Drosophila melanogaster: one gene and its partners. The protein of the gene in region 2 purifies or fractionates together with the protein of the main gene of each other region. This does not show direct contact. Each region holds a gene or a part of one and is shown on either strand. Other genes may lie near its edges.

What was found. The genes of interacting proteins can lie anywhere in the genome.
Region 1: the proteins of Cul3 (region 2) and Roc1b purify together in Drosophila melanogaster (affinity purification with western blotting; 4 studies listed by BioGRID, with this or other methods). This does not show direct contact.
Region 3: the proteins of Cul3 (region 2) and kel purify together in Drosophila melanogaster (affinity purification with western blotting; 3 studies listed by BioGRID). This does not show direct contact.

Annotation. Positions count from the first base shown.
Region 1 is NT_037436.4:356,430-360,547, forward strand, and holds Roc1b (regulator of cullins 1b), read left to right. Parts: upstream 1-1,551; 5' UTR 1,552-1,601; coding exon 1,602-1,970; 3' UTR 1,971-2,057; downstream 2,058-4,118. Other genes in the region: CG1231 (uncharacterized protein), read left to right, coding at 1-1,030; Cdc5 (cell division cycle 5), read right to left, coding at 2,068-2,756, 2,816-4,118. UniProt on the Drosophila melanogaster protein: Component of the SCF (SKP1-CUL1-F-box protein) E3 ubiquitin ligase complex, which mediates the ubiquitination and subsequent proteasomal degradation of target proteins.
Region 2 is NT_033779.5:15,264,038-15,273,462, reverse strand, and holds Cul3 (cullin 3), read left to right. Parts: upstream 1-3,138; 5' UTR 3,139-3,546; coding exon 3,547-4,089; intron 4,090-4,258; coding exon 4,259-4,642; intron 4,643-4,705; coding exon 4,706-5,467; intron 5,468-5,529; coding exon 5,530-5,700; intron 5,701-5,762; coding exon 5,763-5,933; intron 5,934-5,995; coding exon 5,996-6,110; intron 6,111-6,175; coding exon 6,176-6,318; intron 6,319-6,443; coding exon 6,444-6,667; intron 6,668-6,728; coding exon 6,729-6,867; intron 6,868-6,936; coding exon 6,937-7,089; 3' UTR 7,090-7,434; downstream 7,435-9,425. Other genes in the region: yuri gagarin, read left to right, coding at 9,337-9,425.
Region 3 is NT_033779.5:18,133,523-18,140,052, forward strand, and holds the start of kel (kelch), read right to left. Parts: upstream 4,562-6,530; 5' UTR 4,410-4,561; coding exon 3,955-4,409; intron 2,454-3,954; coding exon 2,052-2,453; intron 1,305-2,051; coding exon 92-1,304; coding exon of another isoform or gene 66-91; intron 4-65; coding exon of another isoform or gene 1-3. Other genes in the region: Socs36E (suppressor of cytokine signaling at 36E), read right to left, coding at 6,323-6,530. UniProt on the Drosophila melanogaster protein: Component of ring canals that regulates the flow of cytoplasm between cells. May be involved in the regulation of cytoplasm flow from nurse cells to the oocyte during oogenesis. Binds actin.

The DNA of each region.
Region 1 (4,118 bases), on a different chromosome or scaffold from region 2:
CCCCGGATCCCTTAGAGGTTTCCACATTCCGCACCTTGCACCGGGAGAGACCCCCAAAATTCGTGTGGATAGTGCCTGTATCGAATCTCATCCAGACGCAGAAATTTCGACCAGTAACAGGTTGGTGGCACCTGGTAAGCGAACGGACAAGAAAGATAATGGGTCAATCAGGACGAACATGAAACGGAAGGCTAAGTGCATGGAGGAGGATTCGTTGAAGGCTAACGGCGATTTGGCCTTGTTTCCCGGACGCGACGAGAGCTATCCGGAGGAGTTGAACAGGCTTATTGGACCACTGAACTGTCAGCTGTGTAAGGTGCAGATGACCTCGAGGAAGCGCGCCCGGGATCACTACGAATCGAAGGCCCACGACCGACACATCAGCGCCTGGCTGGCCAAGAACTACACGGAGGTGGGTCTGGAGGCGCCTCCAGTGAAGCGGCTGGCCAAGCAAGGACCAACCGGCCCAAACGCCTTTCACTGCGAGCTGTGCAATCTGGACCTTACCTCCTCTATGCACGCCCGCCAGCACTATTTAGGTCGGAAGCACAAGCGTGTGGAGCAGGGCGTCGCGAAGCCCTCCGGAGCCAGGCACTGTGATACATCTGTTGGTCGTTACGGCATAGGGAGTCTGTTCCGCAAGCCGGAAAGTTTAACCAAAGATTCCCCTACGGACGTATTAATATCAGAGAACAGCGTGATCAAGTCTGACGATAATGAGCGCACCTGCCACCTGTGTAAAATAGTGGTCACCTCTGCTGCACAAATGCAGGCCCACTTGGCTGGAGCCAGGCACCAAAAGAACTGGAGGACCTCCCGGCAGGATCAGAATCATTCGGAGGCGCCGATCCCTGAAACGGAGAAATTAGATGCCGCGGAACTGGCCTTGTATCGCACTCCAATGGGTCAGTACTACTGCCAGCCCTGCAACATGATGATGAACCATGAGAGCACCTTGCAACAGCACTTTATTGGCAAGAAGCACCTGAAGAGGGTAAAAAACCTTTCCCAAACTGAGAAGAACGTGTAAAGAATTTATTTGATATACCCTAAGCCTAAGCCATGACTTCCCGTTAGCAGTAAAGCTTCCTTAATAATAATGACATTCGAGTTTGGGAAACAGCTATTTTGTTTAAGAAAGGCATTATAAAAACCGTAATTTGTTATCATACCCATTACTCATAGAGGGGTATATTAAACTCGTTAAAAGGAATACAAATTTCTATCGATATGCCAAGATAATTTTGAAATTTCTCTCTCAAACTCACTCCCACTATCTGGTATCTGATAGTCGAGAAATTCGACTATAACATTCTTTCTTGTTTAAAAAAATTGTCTAAATTTAGGGATTCAAAAGTGGTTTACCGATGATAAGCTTTCTTGAGCCCCACTTAATATGATCACAAGGTTTAATTTCTTTTCTGCATTTATTTTTAAAATTATTCGCCGTTGTTATTTCGTAGATAAATCGGTAGTGGTCAACTTTTTTTTATTAACTGTCAGGCCAAAAACAAATGGAATTTAAAATAGTTCAAATCAAATTCGAATACGAAAATAAGTGTTGTATTTTGAAAAAGAAAAAAAATTCGTAATTTCACACCATGGCCGAGGAGATAGAGGTTGAGGAGACGGAGGACTTCCACGACATGGACTTCAATGACGAAGAGCCATCCTGTAGTGGAGGAGCTGTCCAGGCCAGGACGGAGCGCTTTGTGGTGAAGAAATGGGTTGCGCACGCCATGTGGGGATGGGACGTAGCAGTGGACAACTGTGCCATCTGCCGTAACCACATCATGAACCTGTGCATCGAGTGCCAGGCGGACCCGAATGCAAACCAAGACGAGTGCACTGTGGCTTGGGGCGAGTGCAACCACGCATTCCATTACCACTGCATCGCGCGCTGGTTGAAAACGCGCCTGGTCTGTCCGCTGGACAACAAGGAGTGGGTCTACCAGAAGTACGGCCGCTAGCGAGGAATATGGATCGGGATATTAGGTGGTGATAGCTGTTTGCTGGCATGTAATTACTGTAATTAAATAAGAACGGACTTGGGTTCCAAAAGAAGGTTTACGCTTCCTGGTCGGGCAGGAGTTGCTGGGCCGTGGGCCTGACGCCAGTTATATGTTCGATTTGAGAGTAAAGCGAATCGCGCTCCTCCACTAAGCTAGCGTACTTTTGCTGCAGCTCCTTCTCGCGGTCCATCTGGCGACGCACGTCCTCTTGCAGCGATTCCAGGCGTCGCGGCACAGCGATGGCCTCCTGTTCGCCCAAAAAGCGGAATGTCGAGAGTGAGACAGAGTTCTGCTCAATCTGGCCGTACGTGTCCTGAAGCTGCTTAATCAGCACCTGGGCGCGCGCCTGGTAGCCGCCGGTGAGAATCTTCAGCTTCTTCTCGATCTTGCCGCAGCGCTTGGCTTCCTTGGCCATGTGGCGGCGATTTGTCTCCAGCCGTTTCTCGGCAGACTCTAATCGATCCTTCTTGCTGGCCAAATTGGCGCGTGTGTAGCGATGTTGGGAGGGTAGGTAAAGAACCTGGCCGAGGCACTCCTGCCACACCTGGGCATAAACGTCTAGGGGCAGTTCGCCATGCGCCATGCGCTCCTTCACCACCTCCATTTCCTCGGTGAGCATTTGCTTGGCCTTCGCCAACTCTTGCTGCGAGATGTCCTCGTAGGGATTGGCCTTAAAGTAGCTTTGTAGCTGTTCCAACTTGTGCTGCGATTGACCAGGCACGGGATCCTTGACCGAGTCGTACACTGCCAAGAAAAAGGACGTTAGTTACTTGGGTTAAAATGGAAACGTTGGGTTTACTCACGCTGCATGGTGATCATTTCGTGTTTAATCAGCTCTTCGGCCTGCTGCTGTTCCGTAAGGTTCTGTTTCTCGGACTGCGGTCGCAGAATCTTGGTGTTCACTTCAGTTGGTCGCGGGAGACTACGCTGAATAACCTGGGAGCGCTTCTCTAGCTCTCGCTTTCGGCGCGCCTCTTGTTCAGCCAATAACCTGGCGTCGACATCCGCCTGATCCTCGACGGCGGGTTCTGAGTTGGTCTCAATGCGTTCGCTTTCCTCCTGCTCAGGCACCACGATCTCATAGTCATTCCGTGGAGCGGGCAGCGTGGAGAGACCGTCACGCAGTGTAGACTTTAGTTGCTTTTGGTAGTTTTTGTAATGTGCTGGGGTCTCGGTGACGCCCATACTCTCCTCAGGATTGATGCTTAGCTTGTCCCTCACGTAGGCAGGTGTATTGACGACACCCGTAGCCCCTCCTGCCCCCTTTACGGGAACTAGGGCTCCGGAGGAGGGCGTTTGGAATCCGCCGGGAGTGGCTGCTCCGCCCTCGCGTTGGGTTCTAAACGGCGTGGCAATCACTGTGTTAGGCGTGGCGATGGAGGCCGCCTTGGGCAGCACGCCGGAGAAGTCTGACTCGTGCAGCGGTGTGTTCAGGCCACCTTTGAGTGGCGTCTCTGTGTGGGTGAGGGCCATCATGTTTTGGGCCTCCTGCATGATGCGATCGGTGTACGGAGCCGGAGTACGTGGAGTGGCTGCTACCTGGGGTGTAATGGAGTAGTCGGCTAGCAAAGCATCCGTCGTCTCTATGCCGCTCTCACCGGCAATTTCCTTTGCCATCTCACTGGCGCGTCCCAGCTTGACTACCTGCTGTAGTTCCATGTCGGAAATCTGCGGCGTAGGCAGGACTAGTTTGGAGCGCTTCCGCTCGGGCTCCATGTTTTGCAGCATTGCGGTGGGCACTTCATTCTCTTTGCGCTGCTTCAGCTTCTGCTTGTCCCGCTTGCGTTCGCGTTCCTCCTTCTCTGAGCGGAGTTCTCCATCTAGGTCCTGCTGCCGCATCTTGTTGAAGTCGGGTTCATTTTTCTGCAAGTGTTCCTCGGAAGTGTCGTAGAATCCGTGGGCAGGTCGCTTTTCGAAGGGAATCTCGGCGTTGTAGTCTATTCCCTTGATCCGCTTGCGATTTCCGCTGCCAATTCCGGCGGCACGAAGTTCGCGCCGCTTTTGGAGAGTGGCCAGGCGGCGGGCTTCCTCCAGTTGCTTTTCGCGAGCCTTGCGCTTGGCTTTCTTGCCTTGCGTGTTGGCCAAGCGGGCGCGTGCCTCGGACAG
Region 2 (9,425 bases):
GCAGCGAGTGCCTGGTGTGAATATGAGTGGTTGCGATGAGGCACGATTATGCGGTGCTTATGTGGTTATATGGCCGCGACTATTGCCCCAACTACACCAGCCCAGGTAACCATTCATTTTTCAGCAACATTGTGATACTGCTGTATTCGCAGATGCACCCGCACCCGCAGCGTGCAACATTCATGTTGATTTGACTGTGCCCCATAGTGTAATTAATTCGCGGCGCATCAGCCAAACAGACAGTCGTGCATAAATGGTAATAAATACGGCTGAGCTGACGACATCGGAGGAACACCTACGCAGAAGGGAACTTGAACTGCGGCTAATTAATTTCGACGCACGACAAATGAAGCCGCAAAGGGCTCCTCCGATCGGTGAAAGTGCGCATAATTTACACGCACGGCTCAAAGGTTTATGCCCAAATTAAACTCGCAATTCTGTGGCACATTTTTGCCATTTTGCTTATCAACCAAGGGAGTACTAAAGGCAGTGGGCATCGATGGGCAATTAAGAAAGCCACATGCGGTAGCCATCGCTGGATATCCGTTTACATCTGTTTTTCGCCTGTTGCAAGTTGTCATAATTAAATTATTAACCGAATGCCGAGACCTTGTCGCAGGGTAATTAGTTCTTCAGCAAAGCTTTCACTCTCGCAGTCAGAGCGGGAATTTCCCAGATACGATGTAAGGTAGATATTAAACGGCTTATTTTATAAAACTCCTAAACTTTTTAACATGCGTTTATCGATAAAATTGTGCGTTCATATTCCAAGAATTATTCTGAAATCTCAAAAAGCACTACTATTTCAAAATCATTTGTGTTTTTGTCACCTACATAGTTATAGTTAACTATTTTTATCTGTATTACAAACTTTTGAAATGGACTAACTGAAATTTGAAGTCCAGTGCGTACTTAAAAATATAGCATACTTTTAGGGCTTTCGTTTTGAAATACTACCATTCACAGAGAGCAACACGAATTTTGCAACACTGTTAGCTAGACATGGGAAAAAAATGTTATATAAATTATGATAAAATATTATATACATAAGACAATTTAAATATATATTTGGAAATGTTATGTACTTTAAAAATTCAAAATTTATGAACATAAAATCTTTACCAAATAAAAATTAATTTATATAAATAAAGAAATCAATAATTAGTGACAATAATTCTTCTGGTTCTGCTTGTGATGCAAGCGTACTAAGAAGTCAGTTACTTTCCTTTTAATTTTTATATTTAATATTTATATTCCTTTAACAAATAAAATAAAAAGTAACTACATATTTTCTTAAGTTGCGTGCGATGCAAAGTCAGTTCCTTTCCTGTTAACTTTACTGGTTTTATTTATCATAAAGTTGAGAGCAACTGGTTTTGACACTATCGATGGAAAAGTACTATCGATAGCTATCACCATTCGCCTCGAAAAACAACAACAATGCTACTTTTGTCGCCCATCGCTATTAAAACCTACAATCAATATGAAATGCAAGTAAACGTTGAAAACAGCAACAAATCAAGCTAAATAATAGTAGTGACTTTACTAATGCATTCGCACCGGTAAAATACATTTTGAAATAGTAAAAATTGTGCGAAAGCGACGTGGAAAGCCGTTTCAAAAGGCCAGGTACAAAAACATACGCACACAAGCGTAGACCGTGAGACGGGCAGGCACCCACACGCACACACATATGTAACCCGTCTTTTCCATGACAAAGTGAAATAGAAGAATCGTTAAGAAAATAAAGAAAGCAACAAAGTGAAAATAGAAGCATTGGCTCGATAACGTCTAGCAATTGAATGCACTTCCCTGGGACGTATATTTATCGATCATCGGTTGGAAGTGCGTGCGAAAACAACGGTTCTTGTATTAATTGCACGTATATGTACATAACAATTATATTGTCGCCGTGTGAGTTTTTTTCACCGTTTCTTTTACGCGGAGAGATCGGATGGGCCAGCGAATCAATGTACATGCACATATATCCGATATCTGCGATATAGGCGGCGACAAAGGAAGTGACGACGCAGTACGGCGGATTGGTATCCCGGGACATATCCGCAATTGCAAACTATTCGCGAATAAAACCAGCCGCTTCCCCAAATAGACATACACACACGGGCATATATATACATATGTACGTACACACGTCTGCTTGTGTACATCGCGCTTGACACCCTAACATTTGCGTGGAATGTTTGCACAAATATACGAAACCAGAATGCTCATCTCGGCACCACCCTACGCGGATTGTAGCGTAAACATGCTGGGAGATCTGTGATAGAACTAATCCATTCACCTCTCCTTATCTTTCAGGATAAACCAAGGATAACCCAGGTTAACTGTGTTCTTGTTGTGTTAACCATTGATTGCCGCCGAGGAAAGCAGGTTCCGTCATCGGAAAAGTCGGAGAAGCACCTGCTCTTCTTGCAGCTCCCTGCTCCGGAGTCCGAACCGCCAATAAAGTGGAGGAGCAGTGCCGACGCTTGCAAAGCATGAATCTGCGGGGAAATCCTCCCAAGAAGGAGGGCAAAATGCGCATTCGGGCCTTTCCGGTAAGAACCCACATTGGAGCATCGTTAAAACCACGATACACACTCTTAATCGTGTAATATTGCTAAGAGCGAACTAATATGAGATTATCTATTATCTGACAACCCGGAACTAATACAAGTTTAAACCACAAACTGTAAAAACATTTTCATTTTAAGCTCAAATCCAAGAAATCACTATGAAGAAAGAGCTTGCTGTCCACAGCAAGTTGTATAATCCCAGATTATGCCATTTCTTTGGTTCAAAAAACAATGATCTTCAAATTTTTAAGATTAAGCGTTTGAAAAGGTTGAGTGCAATTTGCAAACGAATTTAAAAAACGAGATATACTCATTTGAAAAGCCCCTTACTCGCTTTGCAGTTGAGATGAGAGTTGCAGCGAAAAATCTGTCGATCGCATCATGAACTTGCAAAATGTTTCGATAAGATAATGCCATTTGCGGGTATTAAGAGTTAGATAATTTTTATAAAACAATTAGCAAATTCACCGGTTAGGCGACACCAAACATTTCTCCCCACAAAATGTCAGGCGACATGAAAAGCAAACACCAAAAATCAAAAACAAATAAAAACATCAAAACACCAACCGGGGCCAGGGGAATTTTCAACACACATTTTAGTTTTTAAGTTACAACGAATTCAATCGTAGTTTTCGAGAAATTATTGTTGACCAACAACACACACAAAAAGACTGTGAACACCTGTATGTGGAGAGCAGGGTGAAGGGCGAGACCCGAATCGCGAGTAGAACTCTGGCCGGAGTACGGAGCACAGAGGAGGAGGAGGAGCAGCGGACCAGGTGTAGCAGAACCGCGCGGCGGATGTGACATTGAAGCTATCATCATTAAGTCGTTAAACCAAAGTCGGTCTCGCCAGGCACCGGCTTCAGCAGCGGGCTATTATCCAGCCCCTCGCTCTCTGGCACTCAGCGAGGAAGAGAGGAGCCACTACCGGGACAGGACGTGTGAGCTGGACCAGCGTAGCAATCTCATGCAAGGCCGCGATCCCCGCCAACAGCAGCCGGAGCCACTGAACAACCTCAACGCCAACGGCCGCTACCACAATCGCATGGTGGCCGGCTCCAACAACTTCAATGGCGCAACTGTCGGTAATGTGGACTCTGCCGTGCCTTGCCGGATTGCAAGGCAAAACGTTCTTGGACAGCAGGCGCGAAGCATGAACATCAATGTGCCCAACGCCTCCTCAATGCAGCAACACCAGCAGTCCCAAAATCGATTGTCCGCTCAGGGATTAGCTTCTGCCTCGCGGCGGAGTTATCACCTTGCCGCCAGCGGTGGCAGAGTTCGGGCTGATAACAGAATTAATACTAACCACCCGCTCACGCCGACGCCACTTTCCATGCCAGTTCCAGCTCCTGCTGCTCCAGCTGTCGTTAAAACTGAAACTAGTGCAACCACCTCTGGGCCATCAACCTCAGCTTCAGCGAGCGCAGAAAGTACAGAAAAACGCTTTAAGGAAATAGCACGGAAGTACCCACTCTGGCTACCGGAGTACAAGCGAAGGGCATTCAATGTTAGCCTACCATCTGATAAAAACCAAACAGGGATTTCAACTTTTAGTTAACTTACTAACAAGCGAAAGTCTTAATATCCCTCTTACACTCTTATGCATTTATAAGTTTTAATCCCTGAGAAATAAGTTCTTGACTATCCAAATTAATAATCTTATATTTCTCTTCCAGGCCTCCATGGACGAGAAGTACGTGGAGACCATTTGGGCCAGCTTAAAGAATGCTATCCAGGAGATACAGAAAAAGAACAACTCCGGACTATCGTTTGAACAACTCTACCGGAATGCGTACAACATGGTGCTGCATAAGCACGGCAATAGACTGTATTACGGTCTGAGGGAGGTCGTCTCAGAACACCTGGAGCACAAGGTGCGGGCGGATGTGCTGGAGGCTCTGCACAGCAATTTCCTACCCAAGTTAAACCAGGCCTGGACAGACCACCAGACATCTATGGTGATGATCCGCGACATACTCATGTACATGGATAGAGTTTATGTGCAGCAGCGCGAGGTAGACAATGTGTACAATTTGGGATTAATTTTGTTCAGGGATCAGGTAGGAATATCTTTATTGCATTTATTCCGTTGGAAATATATTTATCGCTTTTTCCATTACCAGGTGGTTCGCTATTCTGAGATTCAAAAGGCCCTGCGAGAGAAGTTGCTGGGCATGGTGATGGAGGAACGTCATGGCGAAGCCATTAACCATCTGGCTATCAAGAATGCTTGCAGTATGCTGATCACCCTGGGGATTAACTCGCGCACTGTCTACGAAGAGGACTTTGAAAAGCCCTTCCTTGCGCAATCGGCGGCGTTTTACAAATTCGAGTCGCAGAACTTTCTTGCCGAGAACAACGCTGGCGTTTACATCAAGAAAGTGGAAGCGCGCATCACGGAGGAATCTTCCCGGGCAGCGCTGTATCTCGATAAGGATACGGAGCCCCGCATTGTGCGCGTGGTCGAAGAAGAGCTGATCAAAAAGCACATGCGACCCATTGTTGAAATGGAGAACTCGGGCGTGGTGTACATGATCAAGAACTCAAAGACCGAGGATCTGGCCTGCACATATAAGCTTTTCTCGCGCCTGAAGGAGGAGGGTCTCAAGGTGATAGCGGACACAATGTCGGCATATCTGCGAGAGCAAGGACGCATGCTGGTTAAGGAAGAAGAAAACGGCAACACGAATCCCATAACATTCGTGCAGAACTTGCTGGATCTCAAGGACCGCTTCGACCAGTTTCTGGTGCACTCGTTCGCCAACGATCGCATATTCAAAAACGTCATCTCATCCGATTTTGAACATTTCTTGAACCTAAATAACAAATCCCCGGAGTATCTATCGCTATTCATCGATGACAAACTGAAAAAGGGTGGCAAGGGAGTGAGTTGAATTTACAATATGCTTTCTGAAATGTATTAATAATGTGTATTACTTTTCCACAGATGAGCGAACAGGAAATTGAGTCCATCTTGGATAAGACAATGGTTCTCTTCCGTTTCCTATTGGAGAAAGATGTCTTTGAGCGCTATTACAAGACGCATTTAGCCAAGAGATTGCTGCTGAACAAATCAGTCTCTGATGATTTCGAGAAGAATATGATATCAAAACTAAAGGTAGGTCAAGTTACTTGGTATCTTAGCATAATTATTTATCGCTTTAATCTCTATTATTGCAGACTGAATGCGGCTGTCAATTCACCTCGAAGCTAGAGGGCATGTTTAAAGATATGTCAGTCTCCAATACGATCATGGATGAGTTTAAGAACTTTGTAAATAATAACAATTTATCCCTTGGCGGTGTGGAGCTAACGGTACGCATACTAACCACTGGTTTTTGGCCCACACAGGTAAGCTTAAATTGTTCCATAATTATGTGAATAGGTTAACTTATCTTCAATTTCCGTAACAGACAGCAACTCCGAACTGCAATATACCCGCCGCTCCGCGTGAAGCCTTTGACATTTTCAAGAACTTCTATCTAAATAAGCACTCAGGACGTCAATTGACGTTACAGCCACAAATGGGTTAGCTACTTAAATGATCTTCTTTTTTAAGCAACTACTGTATTTATGCCTTCCCCTTCGAATAGGAACCGCCTATATCAACGCTGTGTTTTATGGCCGCAAGGCAGTTGAAAGTGAAAAGGATAAAGATGCACCCAGCTCCAGTTCAAGCGGCTGTGGGGTGCCCACCACCACACGCAAGCACATATTGCAAGTGTCCACGTACCAGGTAAGCTAAAATATCTTTTAGTTCGTACACCTCCGAATTTTATTTAGCAGAAGCAGCTTTATTTCATTGATCTGAAAAAAATATTTAACTAAACATTTAACATGTATTTCATAATCCAAAATTAGATGTGTGTGCTACTGCTGTTTAATAACCGCGACGTGCTCACCTACGATGACATACACCAGGAGACCGATATACCGGAACGGGAGCTCGTCCGAGCACTACAATCGTTGTCCATGGGCAAACCCGCTCAGCGTTTGTTAGTACGCAATTCTAAAACGAAAACTAAGGACATTGAGCCCACGGATGAGTTTTACGTAAACGACGCCTTCAACTCCAAGTTCCACAGGTTAGATATTACTTTCAGTGCGAAAGAACGGCGCCTGGTAATAATATCGAAACTATTTTAGGGTGAAGATACAAACGGTAGCCGCCAAGGGAGAATCAGAGCCAGAGCGTAAGGAAACGCGCGGAAAGGTCGACGAGGATCGTAAGCACGAGATCGAAGCGGCTATTGTGCGCATAATGAAGGCCCGCAAGCGTCTGGCTGTAAGTATTATACGTTTGCTATCTGGTTGGATTGTGATTTAACCATGATTCCTGTTTTTATTTTCTTAGCACAACTTGCTAGTATCAGATGTGACGTCGCAGCTAAAGTCGCGTTTCTTGCCCTCGCCCGTGTTTATCAAAAAGCGCATTGAGGGCCTAATCGAGCGCGAGTATCTGCAACGATCGCCGGAAGATCGCAAAGTGTACAACTACTTGGCCTAAGCGGCCCACAAAAAGTAGCAGGAGCGTCTTAAGCAGGATCCGGAACACACTCATCTTCAAATCGCCAGGGCTTGCACACTAACTGAAAAACACAATCTGCAGCTCGGACGGAATGGCCTGAGCATACGAGCGGCATTGATATGGCGGATACTGACCACGATTATAGATGACCGCCAGCCAATAACCCGAATACATAAATATATCAATTAGTGCGCCCCGAATCGTAAAATTTCGTTTCGCAACCCATTTTGTAAGCCTGACATTCAAAATTCAACAGTTAAAAATGCTATTGGATAAGGCACCACCATAATTATTATCCCTCTAATATATTTCTTGATATTCTCTAATTACTGTTTATGGTCATTTCTTTGCGCATAACAAGTGTATAGCAGTAAGCCCAAACAACCACATACACACCTGCTCCACCACCACCCCATTCAGAGCCACAACCACACACACCACATCCACCCACAAGAATCGTACGCAAAGCAAGATAAGAGAAATAATGCATAATGCAGCCCCTAATTGTAAGCAGCTGAGTAAAAAGGTAAAGAAGCAACAACAGAAATATAAGCAAGAAAATATTAATAACTATAAATATAGCTAAAGTAATAAATTTATAAATGAATTATGAATTTTAGAGAGCGTTTGATGTACATTTATACGTCGTCTGTTTCAATCCAAATAAAAACATTCATCCCACGTTTTGAGATGCGTGTGAACAGAACGTAAGGATTGCAATGACTATTCATATTCCTCTATCTTCATTTTTTGTGTACGCCCAAAGCAACGTGAAGTGATTATGATAATCTGTACGAAAAAGTTGTTTTATCTATTAGTTGATATGTGGGAATCGATTCCAGGCATATGTAGGCAACACTTCTGTAATGGATTTGAGTTAAGTAGGACACACATAGAATTGATTTTGAAAAACAATTTAACGCCGAACCGAAAGCACGAAAACGGAAGCAAGCAAACGCGATCTAAACACTGTAAATAAATTTTGTTCTTACATAAAAGAGAAATCGATATAAATAAAACGTATAATGAGCGTTAACACAGTTGTTGTCTATCTTTTAAAAGGATTTTAAAATATTTTCAATGAAATGCTTTTATTCGCCTGTACAATAAAACGAACTTGGTAACAATTTAAATCTGCAAAAAATCTACTGTTTTCAATTGGTGCCCAACATATTGTGCTAATCGTGTAAAATTTGGGATGGGCAATAAGACTTAAGGATTGGCATAATCATTCTCTGAATCATTCGAAATTTTTTAGTTCTTAATCTTTAAAATTCATGGTTTTTGCAGCTTTTTTCCAGCTATTGTGTAACCGCGTTGAACGACCATATCGGAGTTATCAATGCGACCAAACAAACTTATCCATGGGCAAATATACACCGGATGAGTTAACAATTATACGAAATTGGCAGAACCCCGAAACCGCAACTTGGGCAAACAGCGATGACTTTCGCATATTGTGTAAGATACATACATACATATGTATATCGTGAGCCCGGCCAGAAATTCAGAATGCTAAGTTCTTGGGTAAACACACGCAGCGATCCAATTCGATTCCCCGACGCACTGATAAGCGCTGAGAGTCCGTCGAGTTTTTCAACTCTCTAGAGAGCCGCTCTTGGCCGGTGGTGGTGGGGAGCGAGTGTGTGGAGCGGAGCGCTCAGTTCGGTTTCGTTGGCGATCGCGAACGGAGCGCAGACGAAACGCGCGGTATTTGGATCGTGGCAAGAAATAAAAACAACAACATGCTGAAACCGTATACTTAATACGCGTGTGTGTAGCTCAAAAACAAGAAAAATATAAATAAACAAAACTACATTGCTACGTCAGAAGACTGCAAACAAAAGATATGAACGCAGCGCGCTGAGCTGCTCTTGACGTCGCCGCCAAGGTTCGAATCAGATATATTTTCTCTATTTTTTATTTTTTTTTCCGCCCATTTTTGTGTTGTTTTTAATAAGCTTACAACTTTACAAGTGTTTTTTGTTGTGATTTTTGTACTTTCGTGAGTGATTTGTGATTTGCGATTTGCGTGCAGTTGAAGGCGAGGAGAACTGCATTCGATCTTTCCGATCAGCAGTGCCTTGAGATTGCCGCTTTCGAAGTGAACGTTTCGATGTAGAAACCTTAAAGTCATACTCATGTCTAATTACACAAGCTATTCCCTGGCCGACTAAATCAGCTCTTAGTAAGAAGAACGTGGTAATTACATTTTGAATTGATATCATGGCCAGTCGCCAAGCCGGTTTCGTCCTAGACGCCAAGTCCATGGGTCTGAATCCGTCGAGACCTGCATCATCGCCACCGCCACCACC
Region 3 (6,530 bases), 2.9 Mb from region 2:
TGGCTGAAAAGAAACAAGAGAGATTATTATAATTTGTTTTGGTAACAATGCTTCCATTGACTTACCGGGCCAATGCACCCTGCTCTTCCATTCACATGGGCTTGTCGATCATACACACGCCCGCATAGCTGCGTCCGATGGTCATCAAAGCAGGCAGTATTCTCCAACTGTCCGAGTCCGGGCAGTAGACCTCCACAGAAGCTAGATTTGAGGTGCCATCATCGCCACCGACCACATACAGCAGGCCATCATGAGCCACCACTCCCGCATTTCGCCGGCAATATGACATGTCTGCCACTGAACGCCAGGAGTTCGTTTCACAATCGTAGGCTTCAACAGATCTTCTGACCATGGGACCATCGTGACCGCCAACGGCATAAAGGATATTGTTCAGCACTCCCACTCCGGCGCCACTCCTCCGCGAACTCATTTCCGCCACATTAACCCATGTGTCCGTGTCCGGATTATAGCGCTCCACTGAAGATAAGCACTGACGAGTGAAGCCATCGTAACCGCCCACGGCATAAAGAAGTCCGTGGACGACGCCTACGCCCACAGAACTGCGACGCGTGGACATGGAGGCGATAAACCGCCAGATGTCAGTCTTGGGATCATACATCTCGGCACTCGACAGACCCGTAGTGCCATCGAATCCACCCACGGCGTATATGCAACCATTGAGGACAGCTACTCCCAGGGTAGATCGTCTGGCCTCCATGTTGCTGCAGTTTGCCCACTGATCCGTGGCAGGATCGTAGACATCTACGGTGCGCACACGCAGTGATCCATTGAAACCTCCGACAGCATAGACTTTGTCACCCAGGACACTTAAGCCGGAGCGGCATCTGCGGTTGGGCATTTCGGCGGCCTGGTACCACTTTTCCTCTCGCAGATCATACCACTCCACCGATCGTATAGCCTTGGGTGCTTGTCCTCCAATAACGAGCAGTATCTTGGGCATGCCCACCGGCTTCCTGGGCACCGTTCTAGCGGACTTTGTCTCAGTGGGCAGTAGATGATAGGTCAATGCCTCAATGATGAGATTCTTGCACACGATATTGCCCTCGAGGAGGATCTCCTTGTCCACACGTTGTGTGATGTACTCCTTGGACAGGAACGGCAGACGCACATGCTCCATGAGCAACGAGGTGAACTGTTCCCGCATAGGAACATCGTAGCGCAGCCAGGCGATGACGCACTCGTATACGCGCTCCTCATTTGGAACCGAAATCCGGTCGTTGCCAATCAGGCTGATGACCTGCTCGTGCGAGAGGTTCAGAAACTCATCGAACTGGATCACCTCGCTGCAAATAAACCAAACACAAGCAGTTAGTAATGGGGCGCAAGGAATGAGAGGAGTGGGCTAAGTAAATTTAATTAATCGCAACCGGTTCAATGGTTTATATTGCACATTTGCTTTCGGTTTTGCGTCTGTTTACTGTTATATAAACTTAATAATTAACTAATTTTGTTTCTGCCTGATGAAATCAATGAGAACTTATATAATTCTGATACTTTGGTTATTACTAATTCAGTAGTTGAATTCGAAAATATAATTAATATAAGATTAAATTCGTGATCTTATGGAAACCCAAAATTAGCGACTTCAAACAGATGCTGGAAGACACCAATGCGTGACTGTTAAACTATTTAAATTTTGATACATTCCAAACACACCTAGGAATTTAATCGTTTTTATAATATAATTAAAAATCCTTTTTGTTGAGTCTAAGGAACTTTAACTTGACACATGTTATTAAATGTTACTATAATTATTAAAATATCTGATCCCATTAATCGATTCAATTGATATTGTTGTACGGCAGCTTTCTATCCTCAATAAATAATAAATAAATAGTCACTTCACTGGAATTTAAATACGAATTACTATCCGTAGATATAGAACAAACTAAAGTGAGTCTTCCCAATATACATGCTCTAAAAGTGAACACTGAACAGATACAGTAATGGATTCCTATCTGTAAACAGGCAAATCAAAACAATTTTATATTTGTCTGCCCATACTGCGTCATCACAATCTAGCCACTTACTTGAAATGCTGCTCGATGTAGGTCTCTGCGTAATTGAGAAGTTCCACGCAGGCATGAATATCGGCAAACTCCCGGATGCCGAGGCAATTACTGGCATCCAACTGAGTTTGCAGGAAGTCGCAGCAGGCATCTCGCACATCCGTGAGCTGGAGCAGGTTGGCGGCGGTCAAGAGGACTTGCACGTTATCCTCGTTTACCTCCACCGTGGCAGTGTATACGTAGTCGATGAGCAGCTCCAAGGCCCGAGCATCGACACTCTGGAGGGTGATCCTCGCCTGCCGCGACTCCTCGAAACTGGTGAACATCGCATAGAAGTACGGACTGCAGGAGGCCAGCACCATGCGGTGAGCGTGGATCTCCACATCGTCGGCCACCAATATCACATCACAGAGCTGTTTTTGTCTGTTATAGGTAAAAATATATATATATCAGATTTGATACATTTTTTTGTACGCAGTAAATTGGTTAGTAACCGTCATGTATCGACAATATTGAGACTTTGAAATCCACTAGCAATAGATCGTTTTGATTGCCAAATAAACAGTTTAAAAGCGTGCTAAATATCTTCAAGGCTGGTATGTATGTTTGTAAACAAAAGTGCTTGAATTTTTTCAAGAGGAAAATATTTTGTTTTGTAAAAAGAGACGGGGATGCTATTAACTGTGCAAATTATGGCGCCATTAAATGATGATGACTACTCGAAAAGACTAAGATCTTTTGTCTTCAAAATCGTAAGGTGTTATAATTATAACCCAATAAAAAAAATCTCATAGAATATACACCTCACGAAATATTTGTGTGATTCAATTCCCAATCAAAAAGCAATCCACATTACAACGCTCGGCTTACTTTTTGGGTTATACCACATTCACTTTCGCGCCGAATACGATATGATTGGTCCGAAAAAAAAAACTCGTTTTATGTAAGCTACCAATAAATTTTCCATACGCCCAGTAGTTTTCCAAAAAGTAAGCAAAGGCGGAGACGCGGAAGCGGAATCGAAATGCGATTCGAAAACGAATATCATTTTTGGCCGCAACCAAGTTCAAGGTCGTGGCCCAATGCGAAACCCGAAGGCGTAAGCAACTCATCATAATAAAAACTAGACAATAATTAATGCGAATGGCCCCACGACAAAAGCGGCGGCAAATATTCGTTTATACATATGTAGTGTGCAAACACAAATATTAGCAACGGCCAGATAAACAAAGCGAACTGCGCAAATATGCGAGAGACGATCATCTGACATTTTCAGAGATTTTATTTTCGCATCTTGGCCCAAATCTCAAAGCTCGAGAGCCAGTCGGTCCACCTGTTCCCGTCGAACACGCAGGGATTGAATCATGCGCCTTTGTCCGGGAACAGAGGAGATGAGTTTATAATAGAGTGTAGTTAGCACAGTTCTATTTATATTAAGTTGAGGTAGGTCGTCATATTTAACAACTGAAAGTTTTAGTGGTAGAAACTCAGATCAGCTTGTTTTGTCAAGGAAATAGTAACTGGGAAATAGCTGACACCTTTTTAGAACCTGAACGAACGTTCAGCTGGTTTGCTGTTGAGCAAACAAATGACATTTGAAACATTTTTCGAACCGTTGTAGGTGTGCTTATTTACATAATCAGGCTATAAAATCACATAGATCTAATTCTGCATATCATTAAAAGTCCTATGTGGGTGCTGTGTGTTCTATTCTCCAGGGCAGGTACAAAATAACCAATGTTCTACCTAAGGTTTTTAAAACCTCTCACAGGTAGGAATTAGGATATAATACTATTTGTGGATCTAAATATACTGCCTTAAGGTCTTTAGAAACCCTGGCTACTTCTTTATGATGCTTAAGGACTTAACCAAATTTTATAGTCGTACGAACTGATCCTTCGACAGGATCTCGTGCCATCCTTACTTTCTCATCTCGTTCATGGCGTCGAAGGAGCGCGCCGTATGCTGTTCATTGCTGTACTGCCCCACAGTGCCGCGCTCCTTGCCATTTGGCCGCTGGACGTGCTTCTGGGAGCTCTCGTCCAGGGAGTTCTGGCTGGCGTAGCGCAGAAGGCAGCTGCCCCGCTCCAGGCCACTTCCCTCGGCGGCGGGATTCTGATGGTGGTGGTGCTGCTGCTGTTGCTGCTGCAGCAGGCGGTTGCGCTGCTGCATGGCTGCCACGCCCACTGCGGCACCTAGTCCGGGCGGTGGCGCCACGAACTCCGCTCCCGCTCCGCCTTCATTCTGTGCTGGTTGTTGTGGGTTCTGACCCTGTTGTTGTTGCTGCTGCTGCTGGTTGTTGTTGTTGCTGTTGCCATTGCTTAGGTTGCTCATAATACCGATCGTATATTTGGTTAGCAGCGCACTCAGAGCTATCATCCGAAACGGATCGGAAACGGAAGTCGCAGCGAATCGAAGGTGCCTCGCCTGGTCCGAAAAAACAAACCGAGGTGGTGAAAAATTGTACACTTTTTGGACGCGACCAGAGCAGTGTGACCAGCCTCGGGTTGGTCGCAAGTTACCACTAGCGATGAATACTCATCGATAGTCCGATAGGCATTTTCAACCAGTTCTCACTGAGCTGGCTTTGTTTCCAACTATAAAATTAATGATAAAGTCATTTAATTTTTGAATTTTTGTAATTCACTTGAATTACATCTTAAATATGACCTCTCCCCTTTAATTTTTATTTATACGTACGTTTCAAAAAGTGTGATTTTTAAATTGATATACAAACTAATATTCCACATTTACCTAAACTTAAAAAAAGCATACCTAATTCATCTTATAAAAATATATAAATAAAATTGCAAAAAGATTACAAATATGCGACACAGAATTCATTAAGATTGCATATTCGAATTCCATAAAAGAAAGTAAAAAAGGTTTAGTTCAGCATAATCTTGATAGAATATCTATAGATATTTTATAGATATAAAATAAAATAAATAGAAATCTATAGATTTTAGTTGATTACTCTCATTTTATAAAGAATTCACGACTTTATAATGAAAATAACGAATGAGTTAAACATTCATTTGTTAAAGATATTAAAATACATCAATCATTTGGGTTGATTATGATTCCACACTTCTGATTCAAAACACACTTTGAGATTTTTTCTAATATCTTGATCAACTTTATTTGTTTGACTCTTTTTTCGATTTTGTTTTTGAATATTGATACGCATGCTCATCAACATGTGAGATATGTAAAATACATTAAATAGGTATTGGAAACAACTGCTTATTGAATGTTTACGAATAACAGCAACCACCTAGGTAGGAATACATGATTTATAATTCATTATATTAATATAGCTACAGCTTAATGCGAAAATCGGTAGTATTTACAAATGCTCTACACGTGTACAACTGACGGGTTTTTTCTTTTTAAACAAAGCACTCGCTTGCGAACGAAATCACTTCGAATAAATAAATAAAGTATATTCATAAATAGGCGAAAATTACATTTGGAAATTTGGCTAATGAGAGAGTTTTACACTAACTAAGCTGCATTCGTATCTCGTATTTACACGTAACAGTAACACATCATTTAGATTCCATACTTCAAATAAATACAATGAAATATTACAAGAATACCAGCGATTACGAAAAGCTCGATTGGCCCTTCTTTTTGCAATACTTATGTGTGTAGGAGAGAGGGTTGCTTTAGATAATAATACTTAGTTTATAGTACAATTAGCTAACTGCGATTTCGATTCTACATTCTACCAGCTCGCTTTCAAGAGTGCCACAACTCAAAAATCCGTCCGAGCTGCATTCCAATAGGTGAGATATATATGGTGAACATTTGGTTTTTGATCCATGACAGTCTTGTAGTAGCGAGCTAGCGATTTTGTTATGTGGCTTCGCGTTTGATCTTTTAACTTATGGTGGCGGCACACGCTGCACTGGGATTGTCTCAGTTTGAGTTTTGGTTTCTGGGTTCTGTTTGCCCCTCCGTCCACGTCCTGATCCTCAGGAGGAGTTGGAGTGACGCTCCGGCGTGGCGACAGTCTTCTGGTAGCAATTCAGATTGGCCGACATCCGACCAAAGGCGGCTGCCATGCGGTTGGGCAGCCTGCTGAGGTGCTCCTGAAGATTGGACGATCTGGATGAGGACGGAGCCGATGGGCCCGACGCCGTGGTGACCTGCTGCAGCTGGGCCACCACCTCGGCGTGCTGAACGTAGGAGACCCGTATGTTGACCCCCTCGTCGTCGTCCTCGTCCACCTCGCTGCCGCTCTCCACGTCCTCGTAGTAGGTGAAGCCCACCTGCTGCTCCTCCCGCTATACATTGCCGTAGTACGGCATCGGGGTGTTCTGGTCGATGGGCTTGACGCGCAGCTTCTGCTTGTAGTGATACTCCTTAAGGTAGCTCTTCAGCCGACCGGGCAGCTCCATCTGGTTGATCCCGTCGTAGCTGGTGTTGGACACAATGGTCGCCCGGGAGAGCTGCTGCAGGGAGAAGGTCTGCCTTCTGTGCAGGGGTATCGTC